Linked DNA regions of Macaca fascicularis. The protein of the gene in region 5 interacts with the protein of the main gene of each other region in a biochemical or structural test. Links are inferred from orthologs where the notes say so. Each region holds a gene or a part of one and is shown on either strand. Other genes may lie near its edges. The genes, in order: UBE2B, WAC, H2BC21, UBE2A and RNF20.

Evidence for each region.
Region 1: the proteins of RNF20 (region 5) and UBE2B form a complex in vitro, tested with the Homo sapiens proteins (4 studies listed by BioGRID, with this or other methods). The link is inferred for Macaca fascicularis from reciprocal best matches to the Homo sapiens genes RNF20 and UBE2B.
Region 2: the proteins of RNF20 (region 5) and WAC form a complex in vitro, tested with the Homo sapiens proteins (2 studies listed by BioGRID). The link is inferred for Macaca fascicularis from reciprocal best matches to the Homo sapiens genes RNF20 and WAC.
Region 3: of the proteins of RNF20 (region 5) and H2BC21, one has a biochemical effect on the other in vitro, tested with the Homo sapiens proteins (3 studies listed by BioGRID). The link is inferred for Macaca fascicularis from reciprocal best matches to the Homo sapiens genes RNF20 and H2BC21.
Region 4: the proteins of RNF20 (region 5) and UBE2A form a complex in vitro, tested with the Homo sapiens proteins (4 studies listed by BioGRID, with this or other methods). The link is inferred for Macaca fascicularis from reciprocal best matches to the Homo sapiens genes RNF20 and UBE2A.

What each region holds. Positions count from the first base shown.
Region 1 is NC_088380.1:140,909,352-140,915,727, reverse strand, and holds the start of UBE2B (ubiquitin-conjugating enzyme E2 B), read right to left. Parts: upstream 3,732-6,376; 5' UTR 3,603-3,731; coding exon 3,559-3,602; intron 1,430-3,558; coding exon 1,349-1,429; intron 1-1,348. UniProt on the Homo sapiens protein: E2 ubiquitin-conjugating enzyme that accepts ubiquitin from the ubiquitin-activating enzyme E1 and transfers it to a E3 ubiquitin-protein ligase. In vitro catalyzes 'Lys-11'-, as well as 'Lys-48'- and 'Lys-63'-linked polyubiquitination.
Region 2 is NC_088383.1:29,308,732-29,314,367, reverse strand, and holds part of WAC (WW domain-containing adapter protein with coiled-coil), read right to left. Parts: intron 5,076-5,636; coding exon 4,953-5,075; intron 4,530-4,952; exon of another isoform or gene 4,169-4,529; intron 4,012-4,168; coding exon 3,863-4,011; intron 1,460-3,862; coding exon 1,341-1,459; intron 702-1,340; coding exon of another isoform or gene 578-701; exon of another isoform or gene 461-577; intron 1-460.
Region 3 is NC_088375.1:111,387,658-111,393,492, reverse strand, and holds H2BC21 (histone H2B type 2-E), read right to left. Parts: upstream 3,045-5,835; 5' UTR 3,003-3,044; coding exon 2,622-3,002; 3' UTR 1,342-2,621; downstream 1-1,341. Other genes in the region: H2AC20 (histone H2A type 2-C), read left to right, coding at 3,337-3,726; H2AC21 (histone H2A type 2-B), read right to left, coding at 3,887-4,279. UniProt on the Homo sapiens protein: Core component of nucleosome. Nucleosomes wrap and compact DNA into chromatin, limiting DNA accessibility to the cellular machineries which require DNA as a template.
Region 4 is NC_088395.1:125,912,006-125,918,292, forward strand, and holds the start of UBE2A (ubiquitin-conjugating enzyme E2 A), read left to right. Parts: upstream 1-2,213; 5' UTR 2,214-2,362; coding exon 2,363-2,406; intron 2,407-2,551; coding exon 2,552-2,632; intron 2,633-3,025; coding exon 3,026-3,051; intron 3,052-6,287. UniProt on the Homo sapiens protein: E2 ubiquitin-conjugating enzyme that accepts ubiquitin from the ubiquitin-activating enzyme E1 and transfers it to a E3 ubiquitin-protein ligase. In vitro catalyzes 'Lys-11', as well as 'Lys-48'-linked polyubiquitination.
Region 5 is NC_088389.1:56,634,571-56,640,748, forward strand, and holds the start of RNF20 (E3 ubiquitin-protein ligase BRE1A), read right to left. Parts: upstream 3,862-6,178; 5' UTR 3,569-3,861; intron 14-3,568; exon of another isoform or gene 1-13. UniProt on the Homo sapiens protein: Component of the RNF20/40 E3 ubiquitin-protein ligase complex that mediates monoubiquitination of 'Lys-120' of histone H2B (H2BK120ub1).

The DNA.
Region 1 (6,376 bases), on a different chromosome or scaffold from region 5:
CGCAGCCTCCCAAAGTGCTGGGATTACAGGCATGAGCCACTGCACCTGGCCCATATGTATATTCTTAAGAGGGAAAGTCATCTTTTCATTTTACAGCAATAAGAAGTAAAGCAATACTCTAGTTATGATGCTAAACCCAAGTGTCCTGCTTTCCAATGGAGCCACAACTTTTGTTCAAATAGGCTAAGCATAGTTGATGTCACCAAAGAGCCAGATTTGTTTGCTCAGATCCTTGCCCCCACATCCCAATTTCATCTTTCCTAAGCAGCAGCATAAAGCTTAATTATTACTTGCAAGGCATATTCAGGATCTCAAAGCAGCAGGATAATATCCTGAAGGTGCCATGTATTCAACTCAGATTCAGAAGTACTTTATGAGGATGAACTTCACTCATTTTCCACTAGTCTTTAAATGTAGACTCTTGTAGCTGATTCTGTAGTGTCAGAATTCTGTTTATCAACATATTCCTTTTACTTTTTAATGCAAAACTCTAGTATCAAAGGAATGAAAGAAAAAAATAGATCAAGTCTAGAAAAAACAAAAAAAAGCATAAGGAAATTTTAAATTAAAAAGCATATATGCAATATATATAGTAGGTAAAATTTACAGCTGCTTCTCAAATGGCTGCATTCTGTTATTTTACACTGGGCTGTGAATCATTTTCACTTAAATTCTTGCAGCAGTGGAAGTTCTTAATATTTTTGGTTCCAAACCTTTTAACAGCTCCAACAGAATGAGAGCATTTGCATGATATGTTTTATACAAAGTAATTTATTGTTTCTCCTTTATTATTCCATTCCATTTAGTTTTGAGTAGTATCTTAAAAGTAAAACCCCAAGTGATTATAAAACCATATGTAATAACATCAAAGAGCAAATAAACTTTGTATAACTGCTGAAACTTTTTCCCTTTTTTTTTTTTTTTTTGGATAGCTGGCTGCAGCCTCAAACTTCTGGGCTCAAGTGATCCTCCTGCCTCGGCCTTCCAAGTAGCTGGGCACCACCATGCCCAGTTAGTTTTATACTTTTTGTAGAGACAAGGTCTCTCACTATGTTGCCCAGACTGGGCCAAAACTCTTTTTTTGGTGGAGAGGGGACAGAGTCTCACTGTCTCACTATATCGCCCAGGCTGGTGATGAACTCCTGGGCTCCAGCGATCCTCCCAGGCGTTGAGCTACTGTGCTGGGCCAAAACTCTAATTGAAAAAAATTTTTTTCTAATTTATCTTGCAGTTTTAGTCCTTAAGATCTCTCATTCTACCTCAGTTTCTTTTCCTAGACAGTTGTTATATGTTCACTTTTCTTAAAGATTCAGCACACACCTATTATTTGTTAAACCTTTCAACTCACCCAAATATAACTGCATTCCACTGCATGATGTTGTTTTCAGATGGTGCACCACTGACACCCACAGGTGGGTCCTCTTGTAACCTAGAAATCCAGCGTTGTAATTTAAAAAGTTGAACATTAAGGCCACTAAGGAGGCCACATAAACACCTACAGACACTACACCATCTATTTTGAGACACAGACTAACTCCATTTCCTTGTTATTGTGAACTAAAATGAACCATATGACTTAGATATATTAACCAGGTATATATACTTATTAAATACCTCTCCAAATTACCTAAAAATCCGAAGGGCTTGAGAATCATCCCTCTTTCAATATTATCAAGAGTATCTCTTCAAGAATTGATGTATATAGACTGTCCTCTTATACCAAAAAAAGTTTAAAACCTCAAAAGCAAGTAATATTTTTACAGAACCATTGATTTTGCTGCTCTAAACATGCAAAGACTGTGTATCCTAACCACGGCTACTTCTGCAAAATGGCTACAAGAAAAAAAAAAAAAGCAAACCTCAGTGTAAACACGAAATGACTGAAAACACATTAAATTTAACTAGGAAACTAGTATTAGGCAGCAGATTTACTCTATCCCTTTTGCTTCAAACAGCAATGGCTTTAAAAAGTAATCAGTAGGTTTTCCGCCAGTCCCTATTTTAAAGGCTCTGCACTAACATCAAATCTACCTCTCAAATCAGGAGACTCAATACAAGGCTTTCCCACATTCGTCATAGTCAAATTCTTGTAACCTATAGATCTCTGGAAAACTACAAAAGGTGCCATGTATTCAACTCAGAATTAAGCAGAGCATTACAGTAAGGAGCCAGGGCGACAATGACATGAACTAGTTTACTATCTGAATTTTAGTCATGAGTGCTAATCAGATACACTGATTTCAAGCTTTAGAAAAATGACTTTTGCACCAAAAAGGGCATCTCCTTTCAGAGACTGTAACCTCAATTAAAAATGCTACATTATACACACTCACAAATACATATGGAGTTGTTTTCATGGGGCATCATAATTTGCAACTAGTCCACATAAAAAAAAAGGTTTTTAGTCAATCTCAAGCAAATTAGGCCACCACAAACAGAAGCCTTAGAGGAACTGCACTGCTTGACGCCTACCTTTAAATGGCTAAGAGAAGCTACGAATGAATTAAATAAGTTGGCCAAATCCAAATGCCTCACATAGGCTTTATAATAGCTGAGAGGTGACTTCCTGAGCGACAAATCTATGTTTTTATGCTATTTTGTTCAATTAGGGTAGGTGTCCCCAGAAAAAATTTTAAGAAAAATGTGCAGAATATCAAAATGTTTTCTCACTTATTTTGTTTTTTCTACGTTATTTTGTTTTTTCTACGTCTCTAAGTATCCAATAAAAGGTAAACTAACGGAATAATCATTTTCTTCCTCACAACCCCAATACCTCCTAACAAAACCCTATTTTATTTACCAAAGAAGGCCCAGGGAGTATCAAATTAGCGCCAGTCTAAGGGAAGGCATTTTTCCAGACTCGGGAGGCTATAGATAGGGCTTTCTTCACCAGCCAGATCTGAGTTCCAGAAGGCACTGGCAGCCGGGGTGGCCAGCTCTAAGGTCCCAGATCTCTAAGTCAGTTCCCAAGGTCTTTTCAGGCGGGCGGGGACAGAGTCGGGTTTCGGGGGATGGGTTAACCTCCGAGCCTCACGCACTGGACCCCACCCTCACGGCAGAAATGGAAAGGACTGGCGAGGGTGGGGGGCTGGGGAGGTTCACCCCAACCCGGCTCCTCGGAGAAGACTGAGGGGCCGTGAAACAAAGCTGACTGGTGCTGCCGGAGAAGAACAAGCTCCCGCGGGAGCTCACTTTGAGGGGACAAGAAAGGGTCTCCGCAGGGTGCAGGGGCGGGAGGATGATGTCTGATCCCCGTCTGATCCCCTGGACGAGACCCCGGGCAGCTGGCCGAAATGGGCAGCGGGGAACCCTAGACCAGTCGATCGACATCGTTTTACTTTTTGGGGGGAGGGGAAGCAGTATCGAAATTTCTTCGGGCGCCAGAGCGAGCGGCAAGGATAAGGAGAGTAGGGGCCGAGGTAGGACCCGGCTTCCGCCAGTCCCCCTGGGCCCACAGCCGGCCCTCTGAGGGTCACAAGGGGAAGGTGTCCGGGATCCACGCCCTGCAGCCCCGCAGCTTTGAGAGGCCGTCATCTATGCGAAGCTGAAGGCCCTTACCGCTTGAAATCCCGCATAAGCCTCCTTCGGGCCGGGGTCGACATGCTCCGCAGCTGCCCCGCGGTCAGTCTGAAAGAAAAGAGTCCCGCGCAGCCCCCCCACCCCCCGGCGCGGCGGCCGAATCACTGTGGATCGCCGCTGCCGCCGCCGCCGCCGCCGCCGCCGCCAAGACTGACAAACAACCCTGCAATGACGTCTCCCTCCGCCGCCTCCGGATCCCTCCGCCCTCCGCCGCTACCACAGAGTGAGTGCTGGGGGAGGAGGGGGCGGGACGGGGGAGCGCGCGTTCCCTGAGCCCTTCAGCGGGGCGTGGTTCTTCCTGGGCTTCCTGAAGTGATCGACAAATTTGTGTTCTCTGTGTTCAGACTAGAGGTTGTGGATTCAGAGACCACGAAACCGACACACTATCCTGTCTGCCTCCCCGTCTCTAGTTTAGGCTCGGCGGGGTGGAGAAAGAAGGACGTATCCGGGCCAGGGATTTCAGGGAAAGGAGGTGGGATGATGTAAGATCACGTGACTGCCCGCGGCCTTGTCAACAATCCACCCCTGAGGGGGAGGGGGAGAAGTATCTAGAACCACGTGTCCCTGTGACGCGTTTAGAACGGGTCACGTGAGAGCCTCGCCTGGATGTGAGTTTCGGCCAGGTCTGTGAAGCGGGTCTAAGAGGGTGAGGGCTGGATACACCTTTATTAGTTGTTTTCGGTTTATCACAGGTATAGAGACATTACCCAAGAGGTCGTGGGAGGATCAACAGCTTGTTTTGTTTTCTTTAAACCGGGACCAAAAATAACTCCCCTCTGGTTGGTTCAGTGGCTTATGAACTCTGGTACTTGGGGCAAGAAGAGAGAGGATCGCAAGATCTTCTAAGGCAGCATTGAATACTGAGGGCCACACAACAATCTCCTGAAATGGTTCCTTGAAGCTACCAAATAGTCTTTCTGCTTTGCAGTGGGGTTTCTAGTATTGGAAATTCTGGGCAAACATTAAAGGATGGTGTATTATGCAGTTTTTCCTTTCTGGGTCTGCTTTCAATTGAAGATATGTGTCAGAGTCCGGGGACTTGCCTATGGGGGGGAGTACCATTGTATTTTTAAGAATGTGGGGGTGCAGTCTTCCAAGCATATCAATGAGTGGTTGGTTGTCAAAGAAACCTACAAATATGATTCATATGTGGGGGAGAGCTCCAGCAGACCTGAGTGAGGGTTATCTATCCAGCCTGAGACAACTTCAGGTTTTTTACACTAGCAAGAAAGGTGCAAATGGGCGAGAAGTGCCCCCCCACCACCAGGGGGTTCAGAGGTGTTGACCTCCCACAGACCTTGAATATTTTTTGTAGTTACTGTCTTTCCCTGTATTGCTGCTAATTCCTACTTTCAGGACTTTGTTATACTAAGGACTCTGAGTACTTTTGTATCCATTTGGGGAATTGTTCGGTTCAACAGGTAAAGGGAGGGTGGAATGAGGACCTTAGCATTGCCTCAACCTTGCCCCTAGTTCTATGGAAGCAGAGTTAACTTTTCCGACTTTCCTTGTACCTCTTTCTTCAAACCCTGAATTCTCTCAGCTTCCAGTGACTGCCTTAGTGATCAAGTTAGCCAGGCCTAACTCTTGATAGGTCCTGTTAGACATTCACAATGTGTTTTCTAAGTTAAAAGCTGAATATTCTTAATGTTTTTGCTTTTCTGCCATTGCAGTCCTAACCCTTCCAATAGCAAAGGAGGAAGACACACAGGCAGGGTTACATGGAGAAAAATGGTAAATAGAAACTATATCTTAAAAATATCCCTCATGAGCTGGGGCATTAGCTCATGCCTGTAATCCTAACACTTTGGGAGGCCAGGAGTTGAAGACCAGCCTGGGCAACATAGGAGATCCTGTCTCTGTGCACACGAGTAGCCCCAGCAACTCAGGAGGCTGAGGCAGAAGAATCGTTTGAGCTGCAGTAAGCCATCATCATGCCACTGAGACCCTGTCTCAAACCCTGCAACAACCAAAAAACCCTTATAATTTATCAGTCTAGGCAGTCACTGAAAGCAGAGACAGAATTCAGGGTTTGAAAAAAGGGAGGTACAAGGAAAGTGGGAAAAGTTAACCCTTTCTGGTTCCATGGAACTATGGGCAAGATTAGGGCAATGCTGAGGTCCTTCTCCTACCTCCCTTTCCTTGTTGAGCTGAAGAATGGATACAAAAGTGCTGAGTCCTCCTGACGCACCAACAAAGTCCTAAAGATGGGAACTGGAGGCAATGGAGTTTAGGAATTCCGTGACTACAGGGATTTATAATTGTTTCGGAAACAGTTTAAATTTTCCAAAATGAATTAACACTTTTAACTAATTCAGTGCATGTGCATCATAAAGTCTTACAGCTGTGTATTAGCAAGAATCACTGGCTGTTCTGGTTAACCAGGCCTGCCATAACCTACTTGTAGAAGGAATAATTTTAAAGCTATTAATTGTATGCTGTTATCAATTCTGTAGCTCTGGATTATGAGTTCATTGAGGGCAGGGACTGAGTTTGGTTCATCTTTGTCCTGGGCAATGTTTTTTTATTTTTTGAGACAGAGTCTTGCTCTGTCACCCAGGCTGGAGTGCAGTGGTGTGAAGAGGGCTCACTGCAGCCTTGACCTTCCAGGCTCAAGCAATTCTCCTTCAGTTGCCCAAGTATCTGGGACCACAGGTGTGCACCACCACACCCGGCTAATTTTTTGTAGAGACGGGGTTTTGCCCTGTTGCTCAGGCTGGTCTGGAACTCCTGGGCTCAAGTGATTTGCCCACCTTGGCTTCCCTCGGATTACAGGTGTGAGCCACTGTGCGCAGCC
Region 2 (5,636 bases), on a different chromosome or scaffold from region 5:
CAAAGTATATTATTCCTCAAAACACTTTAGGGGGAAAAAGCCTTTTTAACACGACTGTCAGAGTCTAATGTAAACTGTACTCTCCAAATCTGAGAGCAGAACCTGTTAACTTTGTGTACCACAAACACTAATAAGAATATAACTAAAAAATGGTCACATTTTAACAGCTATAGATATAATGCACATGTGAAGACTGTCTCATATACATCTAGGTAAGGGGAAAATATATATTGCCTTTGTTCAACGTCAGAACTGCTGAATCAGAGGGTGAAATAATGTGAAGCAAAATACAAACATTTTGTTGGATAGCACTGAGCAAGCATAGTGGCAAAACAAAACCAAAAAAATAACACTCTGAGATTGTTTATCTTCTTTTAAAACTGAATGGTTTGGGCCAGGGTTGGGGATATGGTGGCGAGAACCAAAAAATTTAATCACCCAAGTTGATCTCCTACCTGCTTCACCAGACTTGGCTCTGAATGAATTTCAGTTATTTCCAAAAACTAAATCTCCCAAAGGATGAAGAGTTTTCATCACTGAGGATATTTAAAATAATACTGCAGCCTCTAAAAACAATTTAAAAGAAGAATTTCCCAAAAATGTTCTGAGCAATGGCAACATTGCTGGAGTAAGTAGACAGCTTCCCAAGGTGATTAGTTTGAAGGGAACAACTCTCATTTGGAGGTATAAGTTCTGAAATGCTTGTTTAGAAAACAACAATAAAAACAACAGTTCAATTATTTTGCTACCTCATAGCATGAAATAAAAAATAGGAAAATCAATCAAATGAAAACCATTCATTCAACAAATGTCATTTAAAGTTGTGTTGTTAATGAACACAGAAAAGTGCTAACACAATACAGCAGTATAGAACTATCTAAAAGTCATCTGTATAGGGTCACAGTTAAGCTACTGGGAAAGCCTGACATACACGGGAAACATCGGCCCAAGTTTTAGATAGGAGACTTTGGCTTTCATCAATATACTCAAACCAAAACTGCTATGAGGAGGTTACAAAGCAATGTAATTCCAACAAATATTGTAAAATCATGTGCCTTTCTGGTACAAGTATCACAAATCTTTACCCCATCATATTCCACTGTGTAAAATTTTAAAGAGCCACTTTCTTCAAAATAACCCGGGCTTTACTACTAGAGACAATAACCTACCTCTTGTATACAGGTTTGTCTTTGTAAATTTTACAACATATAAGCCTACTTTAGAGTATTCATGGAGTTTAAAGTTGTTATATTTTACAGATACATCTTCAAACAATGCAATATACCAGTATACTATCATTAAACAAAACAATGTGGTCTCAATATACAATATCGACGTACCTTGAGCGCTGAAGACTTCGAGGAGAGACAGGTTCATGACCTTGCTGCTTGTCAGCAGTTACAGGCTGCTGTGTGGCTGACTGTGACACTGGTCCTTGCTTAACTACTGGAGTACTAACCTGAAATGTCAAAATCTGGTGAGATGGTCTCCAAATCTAATCCACATCTCTCCCCCCAAAATCTAGGTAATCGTCTTAGAACATGTAAAATATGGTGTTTTAAAGAAGACTGTCAAGTTCTAAAACTTCGGTATCTCATTTCTTTGTAAAAATGGCCCAAGGTCATAAAATTACTTCCCTATCAAACCAGTGTAAGAAACTAGCTCTCCTCCTTTACAACTCAGTTTTCTTTCCAATACATTATTATCTCTTCTGATTTGTTACTTTTATATCAATAAAAGTAAATATGTATGCTACCACATCATACACATATGGATGCTTAGATTTTAATGACATGGAGAAACAATGTGATTCGGCTATCAGAAAATGAGTTATGGCCCATATAAAGTTCATCATGAGTGTTTTTCAAAGAGATGTTACTCTACAGAGGTAGACTGAAGTCCATGATTGCCAATCAGGATACATATTATATTCAGAAGCCACAGAGAGAAAATAAGCAGTTTAAAATATAAGCTCTAAATTGAGGCACAAAGGCAGATGGAGTCCTTTGTGATAAGCCACACCTCACTGCTGTTTTTCTTTTGGTGGGGTGAGGGGATATGATTAATAATTCTCCCTAACAAATCTGGAACGTCCTGCTTAACTTCTGAATATTACCTATCAATTCTAGTCAAGTCTTATAAAGAACATTTTAGTAAGCACTAAAAGCTCAAATGTTCAATTATTTTAAAAACAACTTGAAGAAGTTTTCGGAACACAAAAAACTGATAGCTATCTGTTTAAAGGACTTTTTTTTTTTTTCTTCGAGACAGGGTCTTAGTCTGGTTGCCTAGTCTGGAGTGCAGAGTGACGTGATCTTGGCTCACTCCAACCTTGAATTCCCAGGCTCAGGTGATTCCCCCACCCCAGCCTCCTGAGTAGTACAAATTGCCATGCCCAAATAAGTTTTTTTTGTTGTTGTTTTTTAAAGACAGAGTTTTGCTCTCTCGCCCAGGCTGGAGTGCAGTGGCGTGATCTTGGCTCAACTGCACCTCCACTTTCCAGGTCAAGTGATTCTCATGCCTCAGCCTCCTGAGTAGCTGGGATTATAGGTCTGTGCCACTAATTTTGGTAATTTTAGTAGAGACTGGGTTTTGCCTGTTGGCCAGGCTTTTTTCAAACTCCTGGCCTCAAGTGATCTGCCTGCCTCGGCCTCCCCCAGTAAATTTTCAAATTATTTTTGTAGAGATGGGGTCTTGCTGTATTGCCCAGGGCCTAACTGAATCCTCCTGCCCTGGCCTCCTAAGTGCTGTAATTATGGGTGTGCGCCACTGCGCCCAGCCTGCTTAAAGGAGTTGAAATGCTCAGTTTACAAGTGACTATAAAACCAATACTGCCACTTATTTCACTTTTAACCACTATTTACTATACTCTTAAAATATCACCCTGAAGAAAAGTTCTAAGCTCCAAAAATAACCTATCTTTTGCTGAAACTCACATTTTAATTCTTTCCTCCTTAAAATACTGGTGAATGATAAGGAACTGCATGACAAACTAACAACTGTAACTTGGAATTTTAAAAATCAATCTAAATTGGCCCTAAAACATGCATTGATCAATGGCCAAGGTAGGGAAGGGATGAACAAACGGGAAGACTTAAAAGCTGACCAACCACCTCTTTCAAGTTGTATTTCAATGCATTTTTATTTTTGGGCTGCTGCTTAAGATCTTACAAATAATTGTTTGGCATTAAAAAGTTTGAAACAGCCCACTGTTTCAAAACTACTCAAAAGAAATTCCCCCTATATTTACCATTTAGCCCAGAAATTTTCTAACTGCACCTATGGAGCCAACCATGTGAGATTCTGCTGGGACAAATACAGGCAATATAAGCTTAGTAAAATGGGTCCCTGTATTCACAAACACCTAGGTTTCAAATTCTGACTCTACCACAAAAACTAGACTTAACTGAGAGTCTGATTTTCTTATCTATTAAATGAAGCAAGTGATGCTCATGATGTGAAAGTTGAACATACATTAAGTTCTTAGCACAAAAACTGCCTCATTTTTGAAATACAAATATGGCAAAGTTGCTGGAAAACATGTTCACTCATGTCTTTTGGAGTCTGAAAATTCTACAAATATTAAGACTCACAGTATACCCTCTTTATCTCACTCTCCATGTGACAAATCCCAAAACCATTAGGGAACAGACTCAGAAGGTGTATTAAAGCAGCACAGATTCAAAGCCCCCCTCTATCCCTCAGTGAACTGAGAAATTCTAGGCTGCATCTACTATCATACCTGTCATCCATTCCACCACTACACCTCATTCTCATAGAGCTTTTTCTGTAACAGATTCTAAAATGTTATTGATTTTCCAAAAGTAGTTTCTTTCCCAAATATCCCTCAAAGGTGACATACCTTTGGCTGTGATGAAACAGGAGGAGTACTGATCAAGGGTTTGATAGGGACTGTGTTAGTTTGAGGTGTGCTTATTCTTGGAGAAACATATGATCTTGGGGATGACGCATCAGACGTTAAAGACATTGGAGACTGATTAGATGGCTGGGCTGTAAAAGAGGGAAGCAATTAATTTTAAAGAAAAACAAAACAAAACAAAAAAACTAAGTCCTTTGTAATATATGTGGTAACAATCTTTGTATCACTCTAAACCCCCCACCCCCATATTACCCAGAGAACACTTATCGGAATAAATCAGAATCTGACCTTCTCACTGGGCCACACTGACTAAGTGAGCTGTGTGTTCAGAGGTAAGCACACCCAGTGTGGCCCACTCTCCTTTATGTGGCTGGAACAGGAAGCTAGGCCTGAACCTATTCTCACATGGAAGGCCTCCTCACCATCCTTATTTCTTCTTTCTTATTCTACATTTAGGCCCAGGTATCCCACGCAGTCTCCTGCTCATGAGGCTAGCCAGAGGGTTGCAAGAGTCTTTGCACCATTATACTTCCATTCCAGACAAGGCATTCCTGCTGTTTATCAGCTTTCTGACAAAGTGACCCTTTCACTTCCCATTTGCTCCTACGTGTATCTCTCTCCATTTGGATACCTTCATGAAGAGGGATATCTAATTCAAGGCAGAAAATGAGCATTTCCATATTATCCAGTCAAAAAACATCTAACGTCAATCTGAACCAAACTTCAACTCTTCAAATACATGCAATGTTCACAAAGATATATGGCATATCATAGTTTACTTTCAGCTTTGGCATAAAAAAACTCATTAACAAAGTCTGAATTAAATGCTGTATTAAATAATTACAGATTTGATGGCAATACCTTAAGACAAATGTCAAAACTTGCTTCATCTAAAAAGAAAGGAAATAAAAATACTACTGTATATGCCAGTGTTACCAAAAAAAATTGTAGCTAATCTCTTAAAAAACAAACAAAAAAAAACAGAAGAAAAAAACTACATACAAAAAGGGCTATTAATTCCAAAACAAAATCAAGATACCACTGTAGAGATATCTAAGATGAGTAAGAATACCTTGTGTAGAGAGCTGAGCAGCTTGAGAAATCAGAGACGTTATGTTGAAAGCAGATGGTCCAGCAGTAAGAAACTTATGAATTATAGACTGCAGAGAGGCTTGTGTCACAGCTGCTGTAAGAACTAAAAACACATTATTTCATACATTCGTATAAAAACAAGAGGCTTATGTGGCATTAGTAACAACTTGACAAGGAAGAGAACCCACAAGAAACTGGAATATTTCAATCTAGAACTCTCAAAATAAAAGCCTACTAGGAGTAATACAATGGGTCCCAAGATTTGAAACAATCTGAGGCACAGACAAAGAAACTTAATGGGTTTACAATAAAGGTAAACCAACAGAATTTCTTTTACACTAATAAATTAAGATGATCACCTGAACAAAGTCTCTCTACAAAATTTAATGAGTGTTCATAGGAACTTCCAATTACGTCAGAAACCTATTTGTGAGTGTTCAGTATGTTATATGAAATTAACTGGATAAACGATTGCTATTTCATATGACTGCCTTTTTAGACAAGCTGGCCATTCAAATCCTACATCAAGATCCACCCTAATAATCTAAAAATGGATAAAAAAAAGGGAGTATTGGCTGGACATGGTTAGCTCACAACCAGCACTTTGGGAGGCCGAGGCGGGTGGATCACCTAAGGTGAGGAGTTCGAGAGCAGCCTGCCCAAC
Region 3 (5,835 bases), on a different chromosome or scaffold from region 5:
GCCTTGTAAGCGACTATTTCAGCCCTAGTGCACCTTTGGGGCAGCAGTTTGGCTGGTGGCTTATAAATAGTCATCCCCCAGATCAGAGGCACCCATGCTTTTCTATAGACCCTGTGTAAGTTGTATCTGTTAATTTCCTTCATTGAGAAATATATACTGTAGATAAAAGAATCCAGCAAAGCCTTTAATTGGTAACTTTATTAATAACAATAGCATCTACACACATTTGAAAACACACATGTAGGAGACAGTTAAGATTTATTCAGTCTGGCCGGGCGCGGTGGCTCAAGCCTGTAATCCCAGCACTTTGGGAGGCCGAGGCGGGCGGATCACAAGGTCAGGAGATCGAGACCACAGTGAAAAAAAACCCCGTCTCTACTAAAAATACAAAAAATTAGCCGGGCGCGGTGGCGGGCGCCTGTAGTCCCAGCTACTCAGGAGGCTGAGGCAGGAGAATGGCGTGAACCCAGGAGGCGGAGCTTGCAGTGAGCCGAGATCGCGCCACTGCACTCCAGCCTGGGCAACAGCGTGAGACTCCGTCTCAAAAAAAAAAAAAAAAAAAAAAAAAAAAGATTTATTCAGTCTGTGATAATGTCTAGAGCTCATTTGGATTCATCAGACCCCTGCTATCAACTCCAAAACCCTTAGCCAAAAACAGAGTTGAATCACTCATCAAACCATCAGTGTCTTCCTCGGCAGAATCAAGGGTTGGACAGAAAGAGTAAATATTCTGTACCTCCACAAAATAAAACTAAAATGCAATTGTCCTGCATCTGAGAATACAAGGGTGGACAGTATGAGCTGCATGACTGTGAACCAATGAGGCTTCCCTTGGCCTCATTTGTAAAAAGGAGATTAACCCTGTAGTCCTGCCTATCTTGCATGGCCTCCTGGAAAGCAAATGAGGTGATGATGGCCGGGCGCGGTGGCTCAAGCCTGTAATCCCAGCACTTTGGGAGGCCGAGGCGGGCGGATCACAAGGTCAGGAGATCGAGACCACAGTGAAAAAAAACCCCGTCTCTACTAAAAATACAAAAAATTAGCCGGGCGCGGTGGCGGGCGCCTGTAGTCCCAGCTACTCAGGAGGCTGAGGCAGGAGAATGGCGGGAACCCGGGAGGCGGAGCTTGCAGTGAGCCGAGATCGCGCCACTGCACTCCAGCCTGGGCAACAGCGTGAGACTCCGTCTCAAAAAAAAAAAAAAAAAAAAAAAAAAAAAAAAAAAAAAAAAAAAATGAGGTGATGACTGTCAATTAAAAGCTCCTCTCCTTTAAGAGGGGAACACCAAGAGGGGAGAGTAAGAAAAGAAGGAAAAGGCTCTTTCCAGTGACCAATACGCTGAATTTGATGAAAATCCAAAAGAGGTTATGCTAAACTGGGAAGCGTAAGGGTGGATCTACCATTGCCACCTCCTCTTTGATGCAAAAAAAATCTTAACACGGCCCCCTCCCAGCTGTTGCACTGAGGTGACTAAGGACACATTTGAGGAAGTAGCTCCAAAAACATTTCCATTTTCACCGTGCCTTCACATACATCTAACGGAAATGAACAGCACCCATCATCCATCCACGAAAGCGATTAAGAAAACGATGGGATGGAAAAACTAACCCAACAATATTACATCAATACGTAGTATTTAGGTAAGTGTCCATAATGTGCCAGGCTGAAGATGCACGGGAAAACCACACCAGCCGGTCAAGGGCTTGAGAATACCATAAACAAGAAAACAGACGAACCAATTTCAGACAGCTGCTAGAAGGAAGATAAAATGAGACAGGCAAGTATGAGCGGCGCGAATTCCTTAGTGGATGACGTAGATCTCTGACAGGTGACTTTTGAGCCCGTATCTACACGGTAAGTGCCTCGCAGTGACCTGGGGCCGCAGCCTTACCCTTTAAAGCAGAGACCATTAAATGCAAAAATTATCAACAAAACGAGAAATAGGAATTTCAAAGTCTCAAAGTGAACGACGGAAACTGAAATCTACAAATTAGAAAGAGGCGCAGAATTTTGAATATTCATGTCGCCCAATCAGGAAAAGGCTGGGACCCGGCTGCGCGGGCTTCGTCCAAAATACACAGAACGGCTGGTATCCACAGGAGACCCCATCGCACAGCAGAACTGGTGACCGGACACAAAAGGTGCTGCCAAGCGTCAGTCATACACAGCTGTCACGCAGTGTTTGCGGAACCTGGGCTGAATCGTGCCCTGGAGTTCTCTTAAATAACAGCCGAACTCAGCCACTTCGTTTTAGAATGAAACAGACCCAAGAAGCCACCAGGGCGCCAGTGTGGGGCGGGAGTGGGGGCGGGTAAAGAGGCGGATTCCCAACATCCTAATTGAGAACCGACTCCTGGGAATGCTAAGCAGCACAATGAGTGAAGACACGCTCTAGATTCAAAAGCAAATCCAATCATGCACCGGGGACCTCAAGTTCCAAATGGTTAAAAACCTACGTGTGGCATTTCCCATGACCTTTACGCTAAAATTACTTTATGAGAAGAAACTAAGGGAGTAAGTGAACAAGCTCTTTTCTAGTGATTAGGTGGGTGGCTCTGAAAAGAGCCTTTGGAGTCAAGCAGCCGGCGACTCGAGCGAGCGAGCGCCAGGTCCCGGCAGGGACTCACTTGGAGCTGGTGTACTTGGTGACTGCCTTGGTGCCCTCGGACACGGCGTGCTTGGCCAGCTCGCCGGGCAGCAGCAGGCGCACGGCCGTCTGGATCTCGCGGGACGTGATGGTGGAGCGCTTGTTGTAGTGCGCCAGGCGGGACGCCTCTCCCGCGATGCGCTCGAAAATGTCGTTGACGAAGGAGTTCATGATGCCCATGGCCTTGGACGAGATGCCGGTGTCGGGGTGGACCTGCTTCAGCACCTTGTACACGTAGATGGAGTAGCTCTCCTTGCGGCTGCGCTTGCGCTTCTTGCCGTCTTTCTTCTGGGCTTTGGTGACGGCTTTCTTGGAGCCCTTTTTAGGAGCCGGAGCGGATTTTGCCGGTTCAGGCATGGTAAGACACAGTACAAACGCGGCTTAGCCAAGAAAAGAAGTAAGAGAATGGGCGGGCCTGATTCTTTTATAACCACCTTATGCAAATTAGGGCTCCGAAAGTCATTCATTTCCATTGGTCCGTGTGCGGACCTTGCGTTTTCAGCAATGCGTACGCAACAACACCGACTCTTGACTTGATTGGCCGGTTCTGAAGCCATATTAGGACCAATGAAAAACTCGTTCTAGACCCCACCCCTAGGAAAGCTTATAAAGGCTTTCCTCTTGGTTCTCTTTCAAGCTTATTTTGTAGCGAGGTTCTGAGCATTGTCTGTGTTTAACCTTGGTTTCAGTCATGTCTGGTCGTGGCAAACAAGGAGGCAAGGCTCGCGCCAAGGCCAAGTCGCGCTCGTCCCGCGCTGGCCTCCAGTTCCCGGTAGGGCGAGTGCACCGCTTGCTGCGCAAAGGCAACTACGCGGAGCGGGTGGGGGCTGGCGCGCCAGTCTACATGGCGGCGGTCCTCGAGTACCTGACCGCCGAGATCCTGGAGCTGGCGGGCAACGCGGCTCGGGACAACAAGAAGACGCGCATCATCCCTCGTCACCTCCAGCTGGCCATCCGCAACGACGAGGAACTGAACAAGCTGCTGGGCAAAGTCACCATCGCCCAGGGCGGCGTTTTGCCTAACATCCAGGCCGTTCTGTTACCAAAGAAAACTGAAAGCCACAAAGCCAAAAGCAAATAAATGCAGACAAACAAACCAAAGACCAAAGGCTCTTTTTAGAGCCACCCAAGTTTTCAAAAAAAGAGCTAATGCGCTATTTCGTGATCAGCCCTTCATTTGACACTTTGGTGGCTCTTAAAAGAGCCTTTGGGGTGAATGAGTATGGTGTCAAGCCTCTTAATTACTTGTTCTTGCCAGGCTTGTGACTCTCCGTTTTCTTGGGCAACAGGACAGCCTGGATATTGGGTAAGACGCCGCCCTGGGCAATGGTGACACCCCCGAGTAACTTGTTGAGCTCTTCGTCATTCCTCACGGCTAGTTGCAGATGGCGAGGGATGATGCGCGTCTTCTTGTTGTCCCGAGCCGCGTTGCCTGCTAGCTCCAGAATTTCCGCGGTCAGGTACTCGAGGACCGCCGCCAGGTACACCGGGGCGCCTGCCCCCACCCGTTCCGCGTAGTTGCCCTTGCGCAGCAAGCGGTGCACTCGCCCCACCGGGAACTGGAGGCCAGCGCGGGACGAGCGCGACTTGGCCTTAGCGCGGGCCTTGCCTCCCTGCTTTCCGCGTCCTGACATTACGGCTAAAATTGCAGTTACAGCTTCTTTTACAAGGAGAAGAATGTGGAAAGAATAACCAATTTGATGTAATTTATAAGAGCTACCGGGAGGGGTGAAGGGAAGTCGTTTGATTGGCTAAAAGCGGAGCCGTATCCAACAGCCAATAGAAAAACAGAAAGCCGCCTCTTGGTTTGCATCCTGCCCTGAAAGGAAATGACGGATTTCGTAAGTATCTACCAATCGCTGAGAGCCACATTAAAGCCCCTTATTTGCATGGCAGGATCTTTAAAGAAAGTAGGCTTTCAAACAAAATGTCTTGTACTATGGGGTTTTGCTTTGCTTTGTTTAGTTTACAGCCGGTAAATCCCAACATGGACCCTAAGAAACTGCAGAAGACATCCGTAGACTGAGAGTTACTCTCACGCAAGAGTAGGGGATTCTGAAGCCAATTATCCCCTTGAGCTCTAAACTACTAAGTTCCGCCCTTTCTGTCTCGTCACAGCCAAATTCCCTTTAAAAATACAAGTACTACTAAGGCTGCCTCCTTTCTCGCCCCTCAACTTAAGTCGCCCGCAGCGACTCCGCCCCACCCCCACCCGCCTGCACTCCTTGGAATTCAGTTTGACCAAGGCTAGATCTGTCATCTTCTTGACCTCCAGGAGGCGGCCTTGAAGCTTACTCCCTTGGCTTTCAAAATGTCGCCCTGCGTTTTTCTTCTTAGCTCGCCGACTTTTCTTATCCTGCTTCCCCATGCCATCTCTAAATCTGCGAGTCCAGCTGGATTCTGCTTCTCTATCTCCAATTCTTCACTTATCCCGAAGAGTCTTACCCATTTATATGCTTTCAACTAACATCCAAATTTGTTTCAGAAGCTCAGACCCTTGTGCCTAACTGCTTACTGAATACTTCAATCTACTACTTGTCCCAACGAGCACCTCAAACTCAAACTCAACCTCAGCCTATTCGAACGCGAACTCCTGCAAACAACCTCCCCTCTTTGCCCTCTTCCTGAAATGCGCCAGCATACTTACAGATAACTAAGCCGAAATCTACTCTACTCTTCCCTTCGTCTCAGCATGTCCAGTCAGTTGCTTCCTTAATATCCCTTCAATCTTTTTCTCCACGCTCCCTTGTCCACCTCATCATCATCCCTTAGATTTCAGCAACAGCCGGGAAAGGGTAACTTTGCTGTCAGGCATTAATTGCTGGTGTGACTCCAGCGGCCTTAGAAATCTTTCCTGAAAGCTCTTCTTTTTTTCTTTTATCCCATATAACAGATGAATCTGAAAGCTCTTGTGTTTCTTCCTCCTCAACGTCCCATCTCTGGGAGTTCTACATCTCCTACACCATTCTCACCCTTTCCTTAGTATCCCTTAAGGTCAGGTAGAATAATAGAGAGAAAAAATAGACTTGTGGTTTTTTTGGTTTTTTGAGGCGGAGTTTCGCTCTGTCGCCCAGGCTGGAGCACTTCTCAGCTCACTGCCACCTCCACCACCACCTCCTCTACCCCGCCCCCACCCACCCGGGTTCAAGCGATCCTCCCACCTCAGCCTCCCAAGTAGCTGGGATGACAG
Region 4 (6,287 bases), on a different chromosome or scaffold from region 5:
TGTTATAGGCAGACTTCTAAGATGCTGCCCTCCCCTAAGATTCTTGGTCCTTGGTATATACGCACACTTTCTCCCAGTTATTAAATGAAATAGTAATCTAGGTTCTGCAGTGGCAAAATTTAGCAGATGCAATAAAGGTCCCAAATTAGATGTTTTTAAGATAGGGAGATCATCCACAGGATGGGTATGACATAATCTGGTAAGCCTTTAAAGTAGACTGTGCTCTTCCTGAAAACAAGATTCAAAGAGTGAGAGGGATGTGGTAGGAGAGAAATTCTCTGTTGATGACTTTGAAGATGGAGTAAGCCACGTGGCAAGGAATGCAGGTGGCCTCTAGGAGCTGAGAGTAGTTCCCAGGTGGCAGCTGGTAAGGAAATAGGGACCAAAGTCCTACAACTGCAATGAACCGGGCTTGGCCAGCAACTTATAATTTGTTAAGCAGTGATGAAAACGAATATGCTTGCTTTTGTAGATCTTGCTTTTGTTGATTTCATATGTGTGTATGTGTGTGTTAGTAGACTGCAAGTTCCTAGATGAGAGGAAAAAAAGTTTTTTAAAAAATTTTTGTACCCCCTTCCTACTACAGCCATAATGTGATGCTATTAGGGAGACTTGCCTTAACTGATATATTGGAGTTAATGGGAGATAGAAATCCTTGACCATGAAAGTACCTGTTATTAAACAGCAGCTAGAATTACTACCATTGTCAAGTGCCTCCTGCTTCTCATGTTAGAAACAAATTCCTGCACATCTGATATCTTCTGGACATCTTCACGGGGATGTCTCACCAGTCCCATGAACTCAGTAAGTCCCACCCAAAATTTCCTCTCCCAAACTTGTCCCTCTCTCTCTATTCTGTAATTCTGTTAATGGCACCTTCAAATCCCCAGTTATCTTGGGGCTTAGAGTTTCAGCCTCTGTTGACTCCTTCCTCTCTCTTGCCTCCATATTCAACCTGTTGCCAAGTCCTCCCCATTCATTCATATCCTACTTGCCTTTACTGTCACTGCCTGGTTCAGTATCTCACACCTAGATACTGCAAGAGTCTCCTGCCTGCTCTCTTGAGACCAATCTCTGATAAGCACAGCTCTAATGATGTCACTTCCCTGCTTAATGGACTTCCAAGGAATCCATTAGCTTGGCATTCAAAACTCTTGATGACTTAACCCAAACCTACCTTTCTCCTATTTTCAATAATTTTTAAATGTGTATTATGCCTATCTTCTAAGTTATTTTGGGTTGACCTTTAAAAATTATCCTTTAAAACTGTTACTGCTTTTGCAGGTCCACGGACTGTGACTCTTCCCGCAACCTGCAGCTTTTCCACGTTCCTTTTACTTCAGACCCACTGTCCTTGCAACTCCCTGCAGTCGGATAGTCTCATACTGTGGACTCTTCTGAACATATAATAGCCGCTCGGCTTGTTGAACTACCAAGGGAAAATGTGGTTCCAGAGCCAAATTGTGAGTGCCCAAAGCAAAACAAAACAAAACAAAACCCTACTCTGCCTGCCTTAAGCTCCCATTCCCTCCCACAGGACATACAACACCATTTCATTCTGCCCAGGGGTGATCATTGGCCTAAACGTTGAGCGCCCAATCCTGCATTCAATCCCACAGCCCCGCCCCGCCCGCCGGTCATAGTCAAGGCCAATTTATTCTTTTGATTTTTCGTGATTTTAACCAATCACTCTGCTCCGCACCCCTCCGACCCCAATCTCCGGTGTCCGCAGGGATTGGGCACCCTAGAGTTGCCGCTTTTTGAGAACCGGTTTTACCTCCGCCCACTCCTTCGTCCTCTAGTTTGGGACTTCCAAACTTCTCCCCCCTCCTCCCCGGGCATAGTGCGCGCTCTCATGAATGATCTGGTCACAAAACAAAAAAGAAGAGAAAAAGAAAAAAAGGAAGAAAAAAAGAGAAAAAGAAAAAAAGCCGAAAACTTCCCAGGGTTTGCCTTAGAATTAGCAGGTGGGGATGGACCCCGTTCCACCACGAGGTCCTCCAGCGCCCCGGGCTCCAGCGTACCCCACGCCTCTGAGCTCGCGGCCCCGCCCCCGGCCTCCTGCGGGGCTTTAATGACATAAGCAACTTTCCTCGCGCACCCCCCGCCCCGTCTTGGTACGGCCTGTCCGGCGCTCGACGTTCCACCCCCCTCTCTCTGCTCTCAGGTTGGTTCAGCCCCCGTCTACACTGGGGTGGTGCTTAGCCGGCGCCAGACCGACCCTCGACTTCGGAGAGGCAGCGCGGTGCCTCTGGGTGCTTCCGCCTCCCCTTCTCCGGCTTCTCCAGCGTCCTCGGCCTCGTCGCCCGCCGCGGGAACCCGAGACCCCAGTGTATGCCCCACCCCTGACCCCGCTCGCGACATGTCCACTCCGGCTCGGCGGCGCCTCATGCGGGACTTCAAGAGGTAAACCGAGGGGACGGCCGAGGCCGGGGGTTGCGAGCCGGGGCACAGGGCGGGTCCCGAGGCGCGCCGGGCGGGGAGGGCTGGGGAGCGGCCGGGAGCGGGCGCCAGTGCCGGCCTAGGGGGACCCCTGTCTGTCTTCCCGAAGGTTGCAGGAGGATCCTCCAGCCGGAGTCAGCGGGGCTCCGTCCGAGAACAACATAATGGTGTGGAACGCGGTCATTTTCGGGTGAGTCTGCGTTCGTGGCGGTGGCGAGAGAACCGGGTACGCGAGCCCTCTCGGTCTGCGCTCCAAGGCGGGCCCCCCGTGGAGGCCGAGGGGGTAGGGGAAAATGTTTGGGTCTGGCTGGGCCTAGGCGCCTCCCCGGAGCCTGTGCCTCGATTAGCTCAGTTCCCGCTGCCAGGGGGAACCGCTTGGGGTTCTAGGGGGGCGGGGCGGGGAGTGGTGGCGGTTAGGCGCGGCGGCCTGCCCTGTGTCTCTGAGCCCGGGACATCTATTTGTAGTGGCTTTCGACTCCGGCAGCGGTGCGGGAGGTGGCAGAGCTCGGGATAGCCATCTCAGATGAAGCAGGGAGAAGGGGGCCCCTTAAGTGGGAACTGACCATTTTTCTCTGTGTTGCAGGCCTGAAGGGACCCCGTTTGAGGATGGTAAGAGAGAGTTTCTTTACCCACTTTTCAGGAGCCTGATCATCTGGGGAATGGGTTCCCACTCATCCTGGAAGTGTCTCCTGCTTAGGAACCTGGCTGTGCCTAGTCTCTGTCTGCTAAAGGCTTGAGTGGAATGCAGTGTGTAGCTGGTCGTTCTGGATATTGTATGCTTGACTAGAACTGCACCTTTCTTCTTGTTTTCTTAAAAAAAAATCTGGGGAAGGCAGTCACTTTTTAAAAGGAGCAATCATAGCACTGATATTAAGGATTTTTGAGGCTTGGGCTGTGATTCTGCTAAATTCAGCCCTCCATCACTGAATTAGTATAAACCCAACCAGTTGCTGATAGTCAGCAGAAACACCAGAGACCATCTGGTTCAGAATTCTACCCCAAGGGCAGGAATTGTGGTCAGCAGGTGCTTGGTAGATGTGTGTTGGATGTTGAGTGGATGCAAGCGTCCCTTCCATTCAACTGTCTGGTTTCTACAATCTGACATTGAATGCCTGTCAGCCTCACTTCTCTAAGATGGTCTTAAATGCCTCATTTGAGTACAGTATTGTTTCTTATTTTTAAGTGAATTTACAGTGTGTGCTTTCATCAAGACGTTATGATCAGTAATTTCAAAGCAGCTTCACAATTGAAGTTAGCCTCACTGTACCCTTTTGATCAGTGTCCCGCCTACTTGAAAGTACTACATGTACCAGTAGGTACATAATTTTTAAGTGATTTAGGTTTAACTTTTAAAAACACATGTGTAAATTGCTTTTTTAAAACTTTATGATTTTAGATAATTATAGATTCATATGCAGTTGCAAGAAATTAAGAGAGACACCCTTTATACCCTTAACCCAGTCCTCTCCCCAAACCCTCCCGTTTGGTAACATCTTGAATGACTAGACCCTATCACAACCAGAAAAATGACATTGATAGTTCTGCACTCAGTTGTGTGTGTGGTGTGTGTGTGTTGTTGTTTTTTGAAAGTTTAATACATTTAAAGGATGATTAAAGTATTTGAACTTATGAAATTCTTTAATATTTGAGGTTTTTAAAAAAAGGAAAAGGATGTTTCTGTTATTTTTTTTCCTCAATGATTTATCTTCATTCGGTCACATAGCATTTATACACACACACACACTTCAGTTTGAAGGTGGGAACAAAAACATTTCTGCAAACTACTTAATACATACTTATGTTGCTGAGCCGGATTGCTTTTTGATGCTACCAGTCCGCAAAATGTTGTGAGGTAAGTCAATATCAACTAAGTCTATAATTCATCTCAAGTAGTTAGATTTCTCCAGGAAACTGTGGACAGTCACCTGAATATTTTTAGCTTCCTCTCTACCTTTACCCCCTGGGTAAATATCATTGTTCTTCAGGGCTGCAATGAAAAGAAATGACAGCAGGAGACAGTGATTGTAAGGGCATACTACTTTGGTGCAGTTAATCATTTGAGCTGATTTGTAGCAAGAAACTATAGCTAGACTTAAATTTTCCTCTACCAGATTGGCACTAGTTATTTATTTATTTATTTATTTATTTATTTATTTTTGAGACGGAGTCGTGCCCTGTCACCCAGGCTGGAGTGCGATGGCGCGATCTCAGCTCACTGCAACCTCCACCTCCTGGGTTCAAGTGATTCTCCTGCCTCAGCCTCCTGAGTAGCTGGGATTACAGGTGCACGACACCACGCCCGGCTAATTTTTTGTATCTTTAGTAGAGATGGGGTTTCACCATGTTGGCCAGGCTGGTCTCAAACTCCTGACCTTAGGATCCACCCGCCTTGGCCTCCCAAAGTGCTGGGACTACAGGCTTGAGCCACCGTACTCAGCCAGCACTAGTTCTTTATACCTGAGATTTAAATGTACAGATTAACTGTGTATTTGCTTTAGCTCTAGTAGGCTTTGTTTTCATTGGCTTCTTTTTTCCTCGTTTTACTCTGTTTTATGCTGGGCACAGCTTTATTAATAGTACATCGCTTTGCTGGGGATTGGCTACCTAAATATTTCAAGGGTGCTTCTCTTAAGTGGTATGAATTGAAAAGGTACTTATGGAGTCCATTATCTACCAGGACTGTCACCTTTGACATTACTGGTACTATTTTTGATGATGTGTATCTCCATCCTAGCATTACTGAAAGGAATTACTCAGGCTGATTTGTTCTGTTGAACAGTCTGCTACCCATGGATGCTTCCTCAGGTATCTGGAACACTGTGGTTTTGAGATGGAGTTTTGCTCTTGTCACCCAGGCTGGAGTGCAATGGCATGAGCTCAGCTCACTGCAACCTCTGCCTTCCAGGTTCAAGCAATTCTCCTGCCTCAGCCTCCCGAGTAGCTGGGATTACAGGCACCCGCCACCACGCCCAGCTAATTTTTGTATTTTTAGTAGAGGGAGGTTTCACTATGTTGACCAGGCTGGTCTCGAACTCCTGACCTGAGGTGATCCGCCCACCTTGGCCTCGCAAAGTGCTAGGATTACGAGCATGAGCTGCTGTGCCCGGCCTTAACCATTTTTTGAATGCCCTTTATTTACAGTTGGGGACTTTACAGTTAGAGAAAAGACTGATTAGGGATAAGTGGCATAGTTGATTTTGCTGTTTCCAATGTATTATGTTAATTAAGAACCCCAAAACTACTTTTGCTTCTTCGTTGTAAACTGTTCGTTATGGAAGTTTCTGGAACAGTCAGATCCTAGTTAGAGTGATGAAATCTTAAGAAAAGCAACACTTAAGGGTATTTTGGTTTAACTTCACACAATAAGAGGAATATATTCTTAAGAGCTTACACTACCAAAACACTGGGGAGAAATGCTTCCTCATCAGAATATCTTGGTATACATGCTAAATACAAAGGTTATGGAATATAGTCTTCATCACATAATCTAAAAATTGTTAATAGACATGGTAAGGTACTGGTATTTGCTTTTCATAATAGATGTGTTCTTTAGAATTGGGGTATACATCTTTTTTATTTTTTTTAATTTTTGGAAATATTTCTGAGTCATAAAATCGTTTTCAAAATGAATCTCTAAAGTCCACTAAGAGTATTTTAAAGATAAATAAATCCTATGATGAAGAGTTTTGGATATTACTTGAAAAACGGAGTTTCAGTCATCAAAAATAATTTTGAAGTTACATGTATTTTGCTTTCTTCTCAGGAGTCACAAACTGGTGGCCAAATAGCAGAAAACACCTGCGGGTGTGTTTTCTTTGGCCAACACAGTATTTTCCAAAACTGGA
Region 5 (6,178 bases):
CCCATTTTACTAAGGCTTTCTGAGAAGACTTTTATTCTTCTCTGTCTTTCTTTTTCATGAATGGATTTTTCTGATGTAGCAAATAGTATGGGCTCCCTGCCCCACCACACAATTTTGTAGTCCCAAGAGGGCCATTCAGAAGTATTGGCTGCTGCCTGCACAAGCAACCGTGGCCACAGATCCCTGGATCACAGCAATGTCAGAGCATTTATCCATCTTTTTCTGGGTTAAAAAAATTGGTGGTCACCCCTGCCACCCAAATCATCTTACCCCTCACCAGTATACCCCTGGTACAATGTGGTGATCATTCCTTCACTCTTTCCTGCCTCTTGGTCTAAAAGTCTTAGAATAAGTTGCAGAGCTGCCATGTGTGGTATTCCTGTCTGTGCTCCATTGACAAACCCAAGAACATGCAGCAACACCTATAGCCTGAAAGAAAAAACCCAGCCTTCCCCTGAGAGAAACACACAGGGATCCCTCACACCCGTCCTCCCCCAACTCCCAACACACACTGAAAACAAAACCACTAGCAACAACAAAGTAAAAAACAGCTGTGTGTGATGATGGAAAGACCTCCTCTTAGCACGTGCCATTCCCTCTGCTTGGAATGCATGTAAAAAACATTGTATAGGGGCTAAAATTGTGCACTATAACCAATTCTCAGTCCCTAGACCCCATTCTTTGTTCCTCTTCTTCCTGATTTTCTTCCCTAGACCATTTCTTTGTGTCCAGTGTTCCTTTTGTTCATAGGCAGTTCCACTGTGAGTCTTATACTCTTTCTCATTCATTCATTGCTCACTATGTGTCATGTTCTATTCTAGGTGTTGGGGATATAGCAATGAACGAAACAGAAGATCCGTGACACTGAGGAGCTCATGTTCTATGGGGAAGGTGAAGGGGAAAAAAACTCAAAAGAATAAATAAGGGAATTTCAAGAGGTTTCAAGGAAATCTAACTAGGTAATGTGATAGCAGGACCTAGGGATAGGGAAGGGCATGGACTGCTTTAGATAGCATGGGAAATCTGTTGGGGGATATTAAAATTGAACTAAGACCTGAATTACATGGAAAAATTCAGCCAAAGGAAAAGCATTCCAGAGAGAGAGAGCACGGCAGTGCAAAGGCCTTGCAGAAAGAACCAGTGTTAAAAGTCCAAGGATGAAAGAAAGCCAGTGTAGCTAGAGCTTGAAGAAGGAGGATGGGAGTGGGAAGACATGAAGGTAAGTTTGCAGGGGCCAGATCATATCAGGCCTGGAAGGTGATATAGCTGTTTAAAGTTTATTCTAAATGCAATGAGAAACCAGCTCCTAGCAAGATAATAAATTGCTTTGCCAGAACATTAACTGTCCATTATTTAGTTCCTTTGCATTCTGCATAGGCTGGTCTTACAAAGGTTCTGTGACAGTAGGGCATCCATTAAAGATCTATTACATAAGGGAACGTGGGACATGCAAGAGCCGATGACAAATGTAGAAACCCTCTGCTTCACTTGGCATCTCTGTCCTTTTCCTCATCTTTCTGATATTTTAAAGCTACTGTGTTCCTACATACATATGCTATCTGTTCCTTCATTCTCTGATAAATTCATCATTTGCCTTTACATTTTCATCATTTTCACCCCCAAATGGTTAACGTAAGTGCTTTTTTTGAAATCATTATATTCTTTCATATTTCTGTGTCGGTCGCTAGGAGAAAGACCAGGAAAATCTGTTAAATTCTAAACCAAAAATTCCCATTCACTGCAGAGTGATGATTCGCAACACTGCTGCGATTCAGGCAATGGGGTGTCCTGAAGTGACAGCACATCACCACTGCAGTCCTAATAAATTAAGTCTTTTTGTTTTGTTTTGTTTTGTTTTTTGGTCTGCTAGCTCTATTAAATTTCCAATCATCTTTGACATAGTCCCAAAGATTTTCCAAATAGTATCCAACCTAGAAAACAGTTTCAGTTAATAAGCATTTTTCAGCAAATTCTATTATAGTTGGGATAAAAATATCCAGTGACTTAAAATTACCCAACTTTACGTCATGTGGTGCTGTAACTCAACAGTGCATCGTACAGTATATAAAAATCCCACAGTAATCAACTCCAATTAAAGTGCCTCTCCACCTAAATTAAATTACCAGTTAAATAAGTTCTCCCAAATGAGGAGTGTATCTAAGGTAGATTAGATTAGTTCTATCAAACTTGTATTCTTCATTTGCACTGTGATATTCTCACCATTTTTCTTCAAATAACAGGAATGCACAATGCAAATGTTTCCATTAAACAAACAACAAAATCAGTTAACAATTTTTAAGCAAACAGCTGTAATCTAATTCCCCGTTGTGGTTTTTTGTTTGTTTGTTTTGGTTTTTTACCTGCAAACATTGGCTGCCATTTAATTTTGGAAAAGAAATACACAGAATTTTCAGTTTTCCTATTAGGCATGTTATTCACAGATTTTGGGATTCAATGTTTCTAGCTTTACCCCAAACAGGGCAAAATTTCTGGTTAACCAGTTTTCAAGTCAACCAGTCTGTGTAGATTTATTTCCAGGAATGTGTTTGTGCAATGCCTCTAGTCCTTCTCAACCCTAACCTTCTCCAGCCCTAGTGTATCCAGAATCCATTTCCAACTGGAGTTCAGCAAAAGTTTGGCTTCCATGTAGCTCCCCCTCCAAATAAGTTTATAAAAGAGGAGGCAGGCTTTCATCTCCTTTCTGGATTGTACACATAGAATACATCTAAATTTTAAAAGCTATGTATGTAAAAAATGGTGTGTGTCTGTATCACATTCAAAATCTAGTTCATGTACTATTCTGCAAGGAAATACATCAAACAAATTAATCATGAGTAAACCTAAATTTAGCAGTTTATCCTTATCTTAATGAATACCTAAATCCTGTTTGCGATATTCACTCAAATGACTCAAGCTTTCTCCTTTTTAATCTCGTTGAACTTTTAGCTGAAATGCCGCAATCTGCAGAAACACATTTCCGTGTTTGAATCAGGAAAGGCTTGGAAGAGATTAGAATAACATTATATTTCATTTTACCAGTTAACACCACAGGAAGAACTATTTCAGCCAAACTAACCCCTTCTTGTCACACTTAAACGTTAACCTTAACCCCAACGTAGACACATACTAAAATTCAAAATTGCATCCCAGGAGGCCTTTAGGACAAATTAATTTTTGTTCTGTGAAAGGCACCTCGTGTCATGTTTCATATCAATTTACAGTTATTGAGTGCCTACTGAGTGACAGGTGCTGTGATCAGTGCTGGAGACTCAAAGGTGAGTGAATAAGACATGCCTTCTTCCTTTCAGAACCTTGGCCCCAGTGAGGGAGTTAGCAACGTGGGGTAAGTCCTGAGATGGCAGGATCACACGGTGCTGTCTATAAATTGCCCCAAAGCACTGAGACTCTAAGTCATCCCATCTCCCTTAACTTCTCTGCAACCTCTTTTCTGAGGATGACATGATCCAACAAAAAAGTCTCCTACCGACAAAGAGAATGTTTGACACAAACACTTATTTTCAGAAACGGTTGTCTCCCAAAGCACTTGGCTTGTCCAAAGATGACTTACCTTGTTGGCAGTCCCTTGCCACACCTGTCTCAAAAAACAATCAAGCTGAACCCAAAGAGTTTCATTGTCCACCCCTCCTTTCTGACAGAAGCTTGCTGATCTGCAAATGGAGAGAGAACTGGGAAGGTCACAACTTGTCCTTGCTCCCTCAAGGTAAGTGTCATCCCGTAAAGCTTGCCTGCTGCCTCATTGCCTTTCCCAAGTCTTGTGCCAAGTCAGTGCTTCTCATATCATAACTTCACTGTAGCTGGTTGTGAGTTGGATCCGGTCTCCTGGAGTTCCCCTCACAGAATGACTACAGCTCACCCATCACATGATGTAAGAGTGCCCTTCTTTGAACCCTGCAGAGTTTTTAACCAATGACCACATATTTCTTCCACCTGTTCTTGTCAGTGTTTCCATAGGGACCCAGAGACCTGAAAAGACACATTCTTACTTTTAAAAATTAATTGGTTTAGACAACCCACACTTGTATTGGCCAGAGTCCTCAGACTGGCTCTGAGGATAGCTGACTAAGCTGCTGCTCCAAAATGCTGGAATATGTCATCATTCACAACCATTGTTCATAACCATTTGACTACCCTAAACACCCTAAACCTTACCTTCAAGGATTCGCTCATCTGAATGAACTAAGCAGAATAAACCGAACAGTAAAAGTAGGGCTTGAAATCCAATTCTTAACTAATTAGAAAGCATGTATGAGCTAAGAGTTTCTTATCCCTTGCCAGGAGGGAGATGGAGAAATTTGATTTATATGTGAAAATTCTGCTTTTCAGCTTTCACTTGCCAAAGACAGGACAACTCAAATGAAAAGAAAAAATGGTGTTATCCATTTATTTTCCCAAAAGAGATGTTTGGAATGCTTTTTTACATTCTCTTCATACATGGGCAGAGTTTGTGCTGTAAATTTTGCAAGTTGACTTCAGTGCAAGAGATGGTCGCAGCATTAGGATGCGTTCACTGGCAAGTAACAGAATCTAGTCTCCCAGGGGCTTAAGCAATAATGACATTTAATTTTCTCACCTGGCAAGAGGTCTGGAGAAGGCAGTTGCAGCAGTGCAGTGATGTCATCTAGGACTCAGATTCTGGCTACTTTTCTGTTCTGCCATCTTTTGCCACATCAGCTTCTGCAGCTTCAAATATCATGTCCTCACAGAGCTGCATTCAATGAGAGTAGGAAGGGGCTGCGATAAAAAGCTTCCTCTTGTAAAGTCCTTTGGTGGTTGTTTTGTTTATTTTCCTCCTTCCAGGAAGAGCAATTTCAAGAAGTCTCCCAGCAGACCTCTCCTTTTGCTTCATAGGGCCAGAAATAGGCCACATGCCCACTCCTAGACCAATCACAGGCAAAGGAAAACAGGACAAGCCCAGTTGCAATTCATTCCCTTGGGGTTTGGATAGGGGCCCATCTTCTATGATCTCAGTGGCTCCCTACCCACCACCTAAACAAGATGGGACTTTTTTCTGGCCAGGAAGAAGAGGCACATGGATAGCTCTTTGGTAAAATGTGAACGGTAACTGCCCTGTTGCTGGGGGAAGTGATCAAGACTTTTAATATCCTTTCTGCTCATGCCATTTTATTTAGAAATTGAAGTAACATGGAAATTTATTTTAATATGGTCATACGGTTAAGTTAGGCACATCATTGAAAACATATTCTAGCTGCTACAAGATTAATTGAAGATATCAAAGCACTTTGAGAGGCATAGCTTCTTAGATTCCTGGTGGCCCATAAGATTGCATTTTCTTTCTCATATGATAGGACATCTGAACAATTGAACATGAAACATCATGGAAACAATAAGATCATTGTTGCTACTTTCAAGGAAGTACAGATAATCAAATTCAAATTGGACATGGGATTGACCAGATGGCAATGTAAGCTTGTGCTTATTTTCAACTATTGTGGAATTGTTTTGAATTGTTGATTTGGGGCCCATGAAGAGCCTTTTATTTTTTTGAAAATAAATTCACAATTTCAGAAAGTAGTCATATGGATTTTGAGGTGTAGTATAAATCATGCTGTAAATTTCTGAAGCTCTTTTTGTCATGCAAATATTAATACATCTGTGTCAGAAAGTATTTTCCTGTCTGTATTCAGTTTCAAGAAAAAAAAACTACGATAATGAAATTAAATTATGTTCTCCAAAAAAACACAGTATCCCAGAAAAGATATAGAGGAGTCTGACATGAATCCCAGGAGATCCTGAAATTCCTAGAGATTTGAGCAATGTATGACACTTTACTCTTCAAGAAAGGAGTAAGGATGAAGATAGGAACTAAAGTCATTCCTACCAACCAGAAACAGAATTGTGACCTCTCCCTAACAGATCCCACAGCTCAGTTAGCACCTAAAGACATCATGTGTCACCAGTCTTTGGATGTAAGCAGTCATGTTAAGATTAAATAATGCAATTTCCTTTGTTGATAACGCTCTTTCTCAAGCCCCAAAAGTCCTACTAAATATTTCTGGGAGTCTGCAAAAAGGTACCTTACATGTATGTACTCACAAAAAAGTCTTCTAGCTACAATCATCACAGAGCATCTACTTTATCTTTCCTTTCCAGTTCTGGCTCCACACTGCCTTGCAAAGTAACTGGAAAGGCCTTTTAC